Linked DNA regions of Drosophila melanogaster. The protein of the gene in region 1 binds, or shares a complex with, the protein of each later gene. Each region holds a gene or a part of one and is shown on either strand. Other genes may lie near its edges. The genes, in order: Rga and Not10.

Region 1 (7,711 bases):
ACAGCTAAAAAATGTTACATTTCAAAGATATTCTAAAAATATGAATACCAACTAGACTCCAGCAGGATAAAAATAAATCGCTTTAAATTGTTAACCGGCAATTTGTACCAGAATTTGCACATACATACATATGCATATATGTATGTATATATATCCTAACACCGTTTTAGAAGAAAAACTCAAATGGATTGTTTTTAATTTTTATAATAAAACTTATTATTCAGTTAGTGTTGAGTGTCCTTGTTGCAATGCAAAAACAACAGCATACTTTCTTTTTCAATTTTTTTCATTTTTATTAATTTTATACAGACTGTCCATTCATAAACGCACTTATATTGGGACATTTATCTAATTTCTCGGGATCTATTTGGAAAACCTTGGACAAACGTTTCCAACTTTGCGCATCAAAGTAGTAGAAGGTGCCGCGCTCTTTTGTACCATTTTTTTCATATTGATCAATGCCAGGAATTCGAGTTATCCATATTTTCTCCTCCACGTGGTATCGCCACTCGCGACTATGCCTGCGATGGGAGCAGAATTTTAGTATATATGTATGTTCTATATATGTTCATACGAAGCTTAGATAATAGCTACGCAAGAGGAAGTACTCACAATTCAGCAGCTGCCATCAATTGCATCATATCGCCGATGTTCGTGTAAAAAAGGAAAAAGAGCAGGTCTTCTTGCAGCTTTTTCAGTACCGGCGCTGTTAGTTTGTCTCTTATCGCAAAGTTAATCAGATATTCGGGTGGCACGTTGAACTCAACGTCTTGTGCTCTGAAAAAAGTAAATGCAAATCCAATGTTACTAATTTGGTACACCTCTTACTCAATAGTACTCAATAAGCAATTAAATTATGTAAGTTTATTATGTAAACTGACCTGCAGGGCTGTGCTACGAAGGGGCCAGCGAAGGTTGTATGCAAGCTCTCCTGCGAGTTCAGGTTCAGGCCTAAACCCGTGAGATCCGTACCCAAGGAGAGCGTCACCAGATTGGGATCCGTTTCTGCAGCCCGAATGAACGTCAGCAGGCCAACCATGCCGAACTGGTTGTTCACCATGGTCGCTGGTATGTTTGTGACCTTCCCTATTTATGCAAAACGAACGAAAGGTAAATTTGTTACATTTTTAAATAAATAAAATATTTCATGGTACTATTATTTCTGGATAAAATGGGTCAAGGATAGTATAGCTGTTGGGCTTTTGTGATGTACACCGAAATCACCGAATTATAATATGAAACAAATAATAATAGAAACCAAGAAATCCATTGATTAAATGGTATCAATCATCCATAGAGTGTTCAATTCAAAGCTCCAAATGATCAAAAGGTCAAAAATAGCTCTCTCACATGTTGTGAGAAGTGTTCCAGCACTCACCATCTGGCGAAGTTTGCACGCCGCTCTTTACAAGTTTATCGTTGCTGGAATTATCGTTCAGATGCTCGCCGCCCGCTCCGCTCCCAGACGAGCCGCTTCCACTCCCCAGGCCGCCGCCTACGCCCATCATGGCATTGCTGTTGGGTACGCTGTTGACGCCGCCAATGCCGCTGTTACTGCCCACCAGTCCTACATGGGACCCGCCGACAACGCCGCTGGCTGCATTGCCGCCGACTCCTCCGCCTCCTGAGCTACCAGCTCCTCCGCCGCCGCCTACTGCCAAGCCCCCTATACCACTGCCAACGGCACCGAGACCATTGCCGCCTACAACGCCGACGTTGGAACCGCTGCTGCCGCTCGCTGATCCGCTGACCACTATCGAATTCATCGGCTTTTCCGTGCCGTCCAAGTGGTTCTCTGTGGACGCACCTCCGGAGCCTCCTGTTCCGGCGACGCTCCCCACCGCGTTCGTTGTGCCGTCCGAGTTTTGGGTGCCCGGTAACGCAGGGAAGTCCTCGTTAGACATCGTGAACTCCGATTGCTCTGACGTCGGTTGCTTCACCATGCCAACTGAAATCAGAAGAGGAGCGAGATGGTCGCCCAGGGCGAATGAGTGAAGCGAAGAAATTAGTACTAAAGCAGTTTAAGCTCATACAATACACACGATTTTAGTTAATTTCTTTTTCCTCAACCAATTAAAATCAATGAGTAGGTCCAAACAGCATTTGTTCAAGGTTTTAAGACATGTTACTGTGAATTTAAAGTTATCCTTCACCTATATATGAACTTATAAAAGGTTAAGTCGCTTGCTTTATGTGAACAGTTTCTTTTTATTCATTGATCATGTTTCAAAGTAAATGAGATTGCATATAATAATATGTTTGGAGTATAATCCGGAAACACAATTTCATTTCAAACTCTAAATTGCAAAAGCTCTTCATGGAATCAGAAGCCCGTATTCGGTTGGACCAACGTAGCCAAAGTAAATGTCCTTGACTGAATCTAGTTTTTGCAGCGTTTGCCATACCCAAACCAACACCCGAGGTTAGTCCCAAATACAGCGTAGCATATCTAAGTGGGCTTAATGAGCTGATCACGAGACACCACGCTTACAACCGATTCTTAATCGTAGTTTTAAAAACAAAAATAAATAAAAAGAAGTGGATTTTGATTTGAACTCACAAGAGGTAAAGAAATTACCATAGGGTTTGCTGCCCGGCGGCTGGAGCGGATTCGATTGGGGCAGTGTCTGGTCGTTCTGGCCGCGCGCATTCGTCAGCGAGGGGAACTCCGTGGGATCGAGCAGGGCAGGCGTGGAGGTGTCGCTACCACCGCCGCCGCCGAACACGTGGAAGTTATTCAAAGGACCGCCACCGCCTCCGCCCGTTCCGTAGCCGCCGCGACCCGTCTGCATGAAGTTGCCCATGTTCGACTGCGGAAAGAGATAATGATTAGCCAAGTCTTAACAATTTATTTTTAGAATTAGGACTGACATCTCCAACTCAATCTTAATAGAGGGTATATTTTTTATGTAATGTGAAAGCATTTGTAACTTCTGAAATTAATGTATATTCCGTTGTATCAAAAATATTTCCTTTATATAAATCTGATCGATCAGCGATACGATTCTCTGATGCAATCCGAAGTATTGAAGTACTAAACCCACAGTCAATGGATATAGATATTGTTATATGTTTTACTTTGAGTATCTTGGACAAGACCGAGTTGGAGGAGTTAGACTTTGTTGTAATGCCGCGCTGCTTACCATGGGGCCACTGCCCAATCCTTGCATGGCTCGCCGCTCCACAAACTGACGCTGGCCGAAGAGGTTGGCGTTGCGGTTGCCGCTCGAGATGGCGGGTCCGCCGACCGACAGCTGGGCATTCCGGTTCGGCGACAGTTGGGGCTGCTGCTGCTGTTGTTGCTGCTGCTGCGGCGCCTGTCCGTAGTTCGCCGTTCCTGGATAGGAGTTGGCGAAGTCTAAGGCAACAAATGTGAATTGGTGCTCCGTCAAAAGCTTTGGGCGACAAGTGCTTACCGGTTTGAAACATGCCCGACGTGGGCGTCACATGGCCAGCCAGGGAGCTACCACCGAATCCGCCTGTTGTCCGGCCAGCTAACGCCGCGTTCGCTATACTTCTCGGGGGTTGTTGAAAATTTAAATTCGCCATAATCTGCAATGGAAGGGGTTGTCGGTTATTAGGCTGTGGCCTTGCTTTGCTTATCTACCCATAAAGAAAAACCCATATCGTATCCGCGTCGACATCGAAGTATCACTTAAGCAGTAATCACTTAAATGTAATAGTATAGGGATTTCCTTTTGGCAAAAACAAACTAATATATATTTATTTTGGAGATTATTACGCGTTATATAACATTACGGTTAATACGAGCAATTGGGAATATGCTGGATGATTCGCAACATAAATTCTCGAAGCCATCTGCGCAGCAATCAGAGAACTGCTGTCAAATGTCTGAATCAGGGAAACTCTTCGCCCATAAACAAGGGTTTACAATAAAAACTGTGTGATTCAGTGGAGGGGGACTATATTGATAACAAATTGGCTCCCCGCAGATAATTGTCGCACACTAAATGCGAGTATATGCGTATTGAGCAAACAAACCAACAACCTTGTGGGTTAGCAGCCTGGAGCCATATATATGAAAAGGTTATCTTAACGGCAAAATGGGATCCCAAAAAAGGGCCACCATCTATAGTATATCTATAAACAAAATAGCCCGCGCCAAGTGAATCCGTTAAATGGCCGACGCATCAGCTGTCGATTGGCGAAGCGAATTCGGACAGCAAACAGAGCAGAAGGAGAAAAGGAGAGCAAATTGAGAGGCAGAGCAAGGAGGTGGAGAACGAGAAGCATGGGCAGAAAGGCTGTGGCAATTATTGCCGTTCCTCTTTGTCGTGGGCACACTCATGCACAGACCGTGTGGATAAGATGGAGACCAAGACAATGGCGATGGTGTGGGTGAGAAAACCAGAATGACTGCCACCAGGGTGCAAGGGAGTGGGTGGAGAGCGGGGCAATGCAAAAGGATATAAGCCTCAACTTGTCCCTCGATCAATTATGCAGGCAGTGGTCAGTGCAGTGCAAAAGGTGTACAGTAAAAACAGTTAACATTGTAAAATACAAAGCTTTATACCTTATCTCCACTACTGGCCAAACCACTACCGAGTTAGTCGAATTTCGTTTACTTCACTACGAAAGCTCCAGTTAGGTTTTGATGCTGCTTGCTAGTACCATAATATGTAAATAACCCTTCCTATGGTAAAGACCGGCTTTATCTTATCGAAACTTCAACGTGCGCTGAACTCGCCTGGAATGCAAGATATACTAGCACAGGATGCCAGTGCATTTAATTTGAAAGGAGCAAATCTTCCTGGAATACGGGAGCTGTCGATTAAATTGATGTTTTACCTGCACGCATGTAACTTTATCAGCTGACCTAACAGACGCTTCCCAACACTGGCGACCGCGCTTACAACAAAATTCAATGGCTAGCGTTAACTCTGGGGACAAGTGTTTAACCAACCATTTAACCTCGGGCGATTCAGCAAGTACAAAATAAGAACGACGGATCCGAAAGGAGGAATGCGCGCAACTTACCTAAATTAACGTTAGACGATACTGTCGCTTCTTGTTCTTCCACTGTTAACGCTCGCTTTCCACTCTGTCCAGCAACAACAACATACACTGATCGAATCGTTCTCACCGCATTTAACATTCCAAAGCGGCCGGCGGGACGAGGACGTAGGAGTCGTTGTCCTGGCGCCGTAACCGTAACTGTGACGGATCACGGATCGGCGAATCAGCAGGAATATGAAAGTCCGCTAACTCCCACTGGGCAGCTGTTGGTTAGCTGTGGGTGTCTCGGTCACTAGCACTCACTCGCTGGAAGCTGAAAGGATGCAACGGAGAAACGGGAGCTGGAACCGTAGCGGGTGTAGGAGCGGGAACGAGGTTAGTTAGTACTTTTCCGCGCCGAGTCGTCCCTAAATAAATGGCATATATACCGCTGTGCGTGTGTGCATATGTATATGTGCCTCGTCTGTATGCAGCGTGGTCTTCGTGCCGAAGAGACAGCGAGCGAGAGAGAGAGAGAGAGGAGAGGAGAGTCGAAGGATGTTGATGCCTGGCGGAGGCTAAAAGTTGTCCGTTTTTTCTGCGCCGCTCTTGCGACCACTGTAGTTTCTATATTCACGCTTATGCAAATGTCGCGCACGTTACACTCGGCCGATTGGATTGGCCAGGGCTCTCGCTTTTTGTTAATGTTTCCGTTTTGTATTTTATTTGTAAGTAAATAATCGCTCGCTATTGCGCTGTTGTCTCTGCTTCTTACTACACTGCTGCACAAGCACTGTGTCTGTGACCCTGTGCGTGTGTTTGTGTGTGTGTCTGTCTTTGTTTTCTCAGTTCATTGAAATTTCACCCGAAGCAGCGAATTGGGCAAATTCCCTGCTAGATTTGCGCGTCTTTTACGCCGCCGACCCGCAAATGCACTCGAACTTAATGGAGCCGGGTCCTTACGATCCACTATCGAGGGGCAGTAAACAATTCTTTAGCGCCCGAAATGGCTTTAAATTGTACACAAAAAATGTTCCGCAAAAAACTTTGTGGCTGTCACGAATACAAACACACAAGAATTAGGGATGTAAAAATCTGCTATCGAGACAGCGTTGGTATCGATAGTAGTTAGTTTGCAACGAGAGGGTTTGGTGCATTGATTACTGTATATTTCAAAGAATATTCGAATTGTTTTCTTTAAAGACAACAATTTTATTCGCCTTTGCGATTGGTAAAATAGTTGTTTACTTTTAATCGATAGACAAAAACAGTTATTGGGCTGCCATCTGGGGCGTCTATGCGAAGACCTCTTTGCGTATTTCAGTTATCGATTACTGTGACAGTGCCTAGACCTCCTAAACTCAACTTTATTGCCCGGCCGCGAATTGTCTTGATTGCAGATTTTCCGATTTTAAACAAAATTTACTTGGCATTATGGGCAGCCAAAACTCGGACGACGACAGTGGTGAGTGGCTAATGGCTAAGTCCAGGCCTGAGTAACTAATATTTACACTGTTCACATATGTATGTAGGTTCATCCGGTTCGAGTCGAAGTGGAAGCCGCAGTGTCACGCCGCAAGGAGGTAGTGCGCCCGGGTAACTATTTGATATTCAAACACGGCGGCGGGAGAGTGCTGATTACCTTCCCCTCGTTTTCCAGATCCCAACGCAGTCGCAGGTCGGGTAGTGGCAGCGATCGTTCCCGATCGGGCTCCAGGTCTTCCCGATCCCGGTCCGGCTCTGGGTCTCCGCGTAGTGCCAGGTCCGGGTCTGCAGAAAGCCGCCACTCGCAGCTGTCTGGCTCCGCTCGTAGTAAGAGATCAAGATCTGCTCACAGTCGCAGGTCGGGATCTGCGCGTAGCCGTAAATCTGGAACTCCGGAATCTCCACAAAGTCACAGATCAGGTTCGTTGCAAAGTCGCAAGTCAGGATCGCCTCAGAGTCGTAGATCTGGTTCTCCCCAAAGTCGCAAATCGGGATCTACTCACAGCCGCAGATCCGGTTCGGCCCACAGTCGCAGATCGGGATCCGCTCGGAGTCGCAAATCTGGTTCGGCACAAAGTGACCGCTCTGAGTCTCGATCGAGGTCTCATAGCGGTTCACTCAAGGGCAACGAGGAATCGCGGTCTAATTCGCCCAATCTGCAAATTGACGTAGAGCGTGCCAATTCCAAGAGCGGCAGTCGCAGCAGAAGTAGGAGCAGGAGTGGCAGTCGCACTTCCAGATCGCGTTCCAAGACGGGCACGCCGTCGCCCAATAGAAGTCGTAGTGGCAGCGCATCCGGCTCCGGCAGCGATGTGGGTGTGCCCAAGAAGAAGGCACGCAAGGCGAGTGGCTCCGATCAAGAGAAGAAAAAGAGCGGCAGCGATAGCGACATTGAGGAATCGCCCACCAAAGCTAAGAAGTCACGGCTGATCGACACTGATAGCGATTCCAATCAGGATGTGGTAAGGCACACCACTCTGAACTACTCAACTATATTGTTATTTATCTAGTTCTATAATTAAGGAAAAATTACCCTGATATATGTACATTTCAATTATGCAGGGAAAGAAAGCTCCGGCTGCAGCTGACATATTTGGAGATGCCGATGATATAAGTGACGATGAGGATGAGGCTGGACCAGCTGCCAGAAAATCCCCAGTGCGCTCCAAGAGCCGCAGTCAAAGCAAGTCCCACTCCCACAGTCGTTCTATGAGCCACTCGCGTTCCCGCTCCAGATCGCGATCCCGGGATAAAGTCGAGAGCCAAGTAG
Region 2 (4,878 bases), 7.0 Mb from region 1:
CGTGGCGTCGGGAATACCGAGTGCCCCGCGAGTTACTCAGCCAAACGTCAAAGCAGGCGTCGGCCAACATGAATGGCAATGCATCCCGAGGTCCATTCACTAGGAAAACATCCGAGGAGGCGGTCATTCCGTGCTGGAAGAGAACCGCCGGCTTTGTTCCAGATTGCTCGCAATAGATTGAGTTCGGTATGCGGAACGCGTTGAGTAAATACCCATCTCGTGTGACCACTGTGTGAATTTCCACCGGATAGTTGTGCGAGGCTATGATTTCGGCCTTGGAAAAGAGAGCGTAGCACTTGCCTATAGCTATAATTATCGACTAAAAAGCACTTACAGAAGTTATTCCATTGACTATTTGAGTACAGACACTCAGAATGACAAGCGTTTTATACGGCATTTCGAGTAAGAGTAACTTGCACAAGTCAAAATAATTCTGACCCAACTTTTAAAATTCCTGAGATAGATACTTAAAATTTAAGTGTCCAACGCTTTAACGTAGAGGGTAATCTAATTTGTAGAATTCCTATGAAAAAGTCTCAATGACTGGAGTATGCAAAAGTTCAACGTAAAATATTGTGAGATAATTTGCTATTGCCAACACCAATTCTCTGTGTACAAATATATAAGCACATATGGATTAGTTAACAGACATTGTTTTATACACCTTGTTTGCACCCTGTAAAATGCTGAAAAACTGATGATCGTCAAACAAATAGTTCGCTTCCTCGTCATTTCATTCTTGCACTTTAATTCCGTCTAGTTATATACACAATTTGTTGTCTAACTCGGCGTCCCGCCAGGAACGGGACCCATTTTGAGGTCCATGAAGCGTCGCAAAGCAAGCGCCTTGTTGGCAACCAGCGAATGAGTTAAATTGGCCAGGAGTGCTTTAGCTTGAGGCAGGTCGTTCTGTAGAGCCATGGCAACGGCCAGATTATACCGCACAACGTTCTGAGCGGCGTCCACCGACTTCAGTTGCCAGTCACGCGTCTCAAAATCGAAGGCGTTTAGTGTGCCCACAAAAGTAGGGTCCAAATGGTCGCGTGCCTCGCTGGCCTTGTCCATAAGCATCAACGCCTCGCCAGCGTACATGTGACCTAGCAATCTGAAGAAAAAAAGGTAAATATGTTAAACCAAACATGGGAAGATTAAATAGAAACTGTATTGTACTTGTGTGCATCGGACAAGCGTTCACAGGCCAGCAGTTTTTCCGACATCTCGAGCGCGGTCACATGATCGCCTAGGCGCAGCGAGACGAAGCTGTGAGCAGCATATATGGCAGCCATCATGTTTTCCAAAGACTCTAGGCTGACTGGCTTCGAGGGATTGCAGAAGTTATTGTCCTGGGGATGACGCCAACTCTCCTGAGTTGGGTCCTTGGGTTCGGGTGCTTCCACATCCTCCGAGGAGACCGCCGCCATGTGAAACCTCGTCTTGTAGTGCTGCGTAAGCGTTAACGCGCTACGTAGACACAAGACAGCGAATTCCAGCGTGGGCTCTGGAACTCCCGCCGATTGAGGACTAAAATTAGGAAAAGTTTACTACCAGCAATGAACTAAGCTAACGAATTAGCACTTACGCGTATGGCTTTGTTGATGGCGTTTCTGACTGCGACTGGCGCTCCTCCTCCACTAGTTTCTTTAAAACAAAATAAAATAATTTGAGATTTAAGACAAATAAATACCCTATTGTGACTCTATTGTACTAGAACATGTTAGTGTAAAGTTGTCTTACCGCCTCATGCTCCATGATGCAGGCCTCAGCCATGCGCAGCCAAAGACGTGGATTGCTGTGGAATTGCTTAACGGGAACCAGAAAGCACTGAAACGCCTCCTTGGGGCGTCGTAGGTGCAACATGGCCACACCGAGGTTGTAAAGGATCTCGCAGGACCGTGCCGAACTCATGGTTTGCAGCGTACTCTGGCGCAAATTTCGCGCCAGCTGCTGGTCAAAGTTGAGCGCATTTTGGAAGAACTTGGCGGCGATGGCATAGTGACGCACTCTTAAGTGTATCACTCCCATATTGTTGGCAATGCACGTGCTCAGCTGGGGGGTTATAGTGCTATTAAGATAGACAATAAAATAGTATGTCTTCTTTGAACTTAAAATGAAGCAGACTCACCCCGCTTGTGTACACTCGTTATTGATTCGCATAAGCTGCTTGGCGGCCATCTGAAAATCCTTCATGATGTAGTACTGCTGAGCCTTCAGAGCAGCGTACTCCGGCGTGCCGTCTTCCTGAATAACCACCGGTTTTCGGTTAAGCACGAGCGTTATTAGCTGCAAGAGCTGCAGACTACCGCCCAGACCGGGCACAGCTCCCTCCACAGCTGCTCCTCCTGGTGAGGCCACCACTGAACTGTTCGTCGCTGCTGACGGAGGTGCTGTGCCGACAACAGCTGCCTCTTCGGCCGCATTGCTGCTAGGCGCTGTGGCCACCAGGTTAAGCTTGTACTGCAAGTAATCCAGAAAGGCCTCGGCTCGGTTTAGTTGATTGGTGGCCAGCAGCAGCTGTAGCTGTAGTGTGGCCACCAGCGCTGCCATTGCCTTCTCCAGGGCTTCCAGACGAGCCACTAGTGGTGCTAGTTTCTCCAGTGCCGTGCCGAACATATGGCGGTGATAATAGATGACCGCCCGGTTGTAACGAGCAACAGTGGCGGCGGCAGCTCCCTGCTTAAGGCTCAGCCCGCTGGACACGTCTCCGGGCGCATCTGCATCGGCGGTTAGAGCCTCCAGTTCTTTCAGCAGGACGGAGTGTTGGGTGCACCCGGTTTTGTAGTAGCTGACCACCGCCCGGTTGTGCCGCAGGACAGGACCACTGCTCTCGCCGCGCGTCTCCAACTCCTGGAGCAGTTCCAAGCAGCGATCAAACTCCGAGCTAGAATGAGGAGCAGCCGGAAAGGAGTGGCGGTTATGGGTGCACTTCCCGGTGACACGCGGATGAACACTCACTTGTTGAACTGCTCGTGCGCCTGGCACAGCAGACTGTAGTTCTCGTCCTCGCCGGCCTGCGTTTTGGTGGGGGATTCCGCCGAGTCCATGCCAAAAATAAATAAAAACAAAAAAACCGAACCAATCCACAGATGACACAGCGTTGCCAGAATCAACAAGCACAGCGTTGCCACTTTTAACCGTAACTAAAGCGGTTAACCTTATTAATAAATAAGTTAATTCTTAACATTAAACAACTTGTTAAATTTCTTGTTAATTTATTAATTAAAAATTAAATTGTTAATATGAACAAATTAAAATATATTCTATATAAAATTTTAACTTTACAATGGTCAAATTGGCATTTTGCTGTCGATAGGTGGCAGCACATCACTAGTCTAGATTTGCAGCGCGCGAAACCTATACCTTTATTTCAACTGAGACTTTTGTTTGTGATGATATATAATATTTAGAATAATAAAATATCCATTTATCGTTTACAATTTTTGATCCACCTACCCACCCAACTGTAATTATCCTTGCATTCAATCGAAGTTTCCTGTTTCATCATATTGTTATTAATCCTCGCCTGGTTTATATGATGGGAACTACATAGATTCAACATCGACCAGTTGAAGAACAAACTTCCATCCCGCAGAATTGGCTAGGAAAAAGGCTAATATTTTATACAAAACTCAACTTAATCTTCAGTTGCGCATCATTTTCAAGCACATTCAAATAATATCAGCAGTTCAATATTTTTGAATTATTTTAATTTGATTCGAAGTACAATATTATTCACTAAACTGTTTCAAAATATTCAATAATTTGCATACACTTACAAGGGATCGATTTTGGGGTCAGGATGGCTCCCTTATTTTATTTGCTGCTTCATTACCGCTGCAATGGTTCAAAACGAAGAAACTGAGGATCGGGAAAATGGGAGGGGCAGCTCCTACTTTCGAGACTCATTTAGCGAGGGCGTAGTAGGCATGTCTTATGTACACTATTCGTAAATATGTGTATTGTGTATAATATATATATATGTGTATGTATATTGTTATGTATACCATATAAACTTGAATTTAGCATTAAAAATTCCCAATGCTGGTTTTTAACTAATCCCCGGGGGCTGAGAGGGGCTCAACATTAACTGAGCAGCAGCACTTCCCGCCTCGTATCGCGTCGCATAACAGATCCCTTCTCCACCAACCTACATCATCGCTCATCTGCTCCATCCTCCTCCAATCCGGGCAAGCACACACATTCACACGGCTTCCCATAAAGATTTCGTAGCAGGTTTGTTCGTTCGAGTTTTTGCTTCATTGCATTGCTATGGTTAGGGGGTTTCGATTGCGCCGGACTAAGCTGCTTATGTGTTCCGAATCTTGCCGGGCACGTAGTTCTTATCTATGACATTCTCCTGCAGGAACATATGCAGGCAGCGCTCGTTCTGCGCCAGCGGATGTCCGGCTATCTTGTTGATGAAGGCCTCCAGTCCCTTGCGCCGCTCCTCGATGAAGCTTTCGTCAAAGATGCCCTCGTCGCCGCGGAAGGGCATCTGCCGCTTCCATGCCTTTCCTGGGAGTGGTGGCACCACAATCTGCGGGGATATGTATGTTCATGATTAAATACTCTTCAGGCGCTTATCGAAGTTTCCGTTTTCACTTATAAAACTCAGGGTTAAGTTTCCTCTTAAGGATTGAAACTTTTCTAGTGGCTTCTTATAATTACAATGTATTGTTTCGTAATTCTATCTAAATAGATTCTGAATAGTGCGGATTTTGAATCTATTAAAGTGAAAACGAAAGACTACCGCCTGGATCACACTTGTCCGTACCTTGCTATCCCGCTCCAGCTCGTTTCGCAGCCACTCAAAGTCGCTGTAGCGTCGCCTGACACTGGACTCCTTTACCTTAAAGACGGGCAGATTGGTCTAAAAAAGGA

What was found.
Region 2: Rga (region 1) and Not10 share a complex: the UniProt entries of both Drosophila melanogaster proteins name them as parts of the CCR4-NOT complex.

The regions. Positions count from the first base shown.
Region 1 is NT_033777.3:5,607,072-5,614,782, forward strand, and holds Rga (regena), read right to left. Parts: upstream 6,042-7,711; 5' UTR 4,999-6,041; intron 3,553-4,998; 5' UTR 3,550-3,552; coding exon 3,417-3,549; intron 3,359-3,416; coding exon 3,144-3,358; intron 2,811-3,143; coding exon 2,561-2,810; exon of another isoform or gene 1,949-2,560; coding exon 1,379-1,948; exon of another isoform or gene 1,182-1,378; intron 1,111-1,181; exon of another isoform or gene 1,087-1,110; coding exon 882-1,086; intron 816-881; exon of another isoform or gene 778-815; coding exon 613-777; intron 522-612; coding exon 302-521; 3' UTR 204-301; downstream 1-203. Other genes in the region: Atu (another transcription unit), read left to right, coding at 6,391-6,421, 6,489-6,552, 6,617-7,403, 7,504-7,711. UniProt on the Drosophila melanogaster protein: Component of the CCR4-NOT complex which is one of the major cellular mRNA deadenylases and is linked to various cellular processes including bulk mRNA degradation, miRNA-mediated repression, translational repression during translational initiation and general transcription regulation.
Region 2 is NT_033777.3:12,628,878-12,633,755, reverse strand, and holds Not10 (CCR4-NOT transcription complex subunit 10), read right to left. Parts: upstream 3,110-4,878; 5' UTR 3,042-3,109; coding exon 2,953-3,041; intron 2,879-2,952; coding exon 2,123-2,878; intron 2,063-2,122; coding exon 1,735-2,062; intron 1,639-1,734; coding exon 1,580-1,638; intron 1,522-1,579; coding exon 1,171-1,521; intron 1,106-1,170; coding exon 781-1,105; 3' UTR 568-780; downstream 1-567. Other genes in the region: CG18530 (uncharacterized protein), read right to left, coding at 1-274, 335-397; Snx3 (sorting nexin 3), read right to left, coding at 4,304-4,534, 4,772-4,867. UniProt on the Drosophila melanogaster protein: Component of the CCR4-NOT complex which is one of the major cellular mRNA deadenylases and is linked to various cellular processes including bulk mRNA degradation, miRNA-mediated repression, translational repression during translational initiation and general transcription regulation.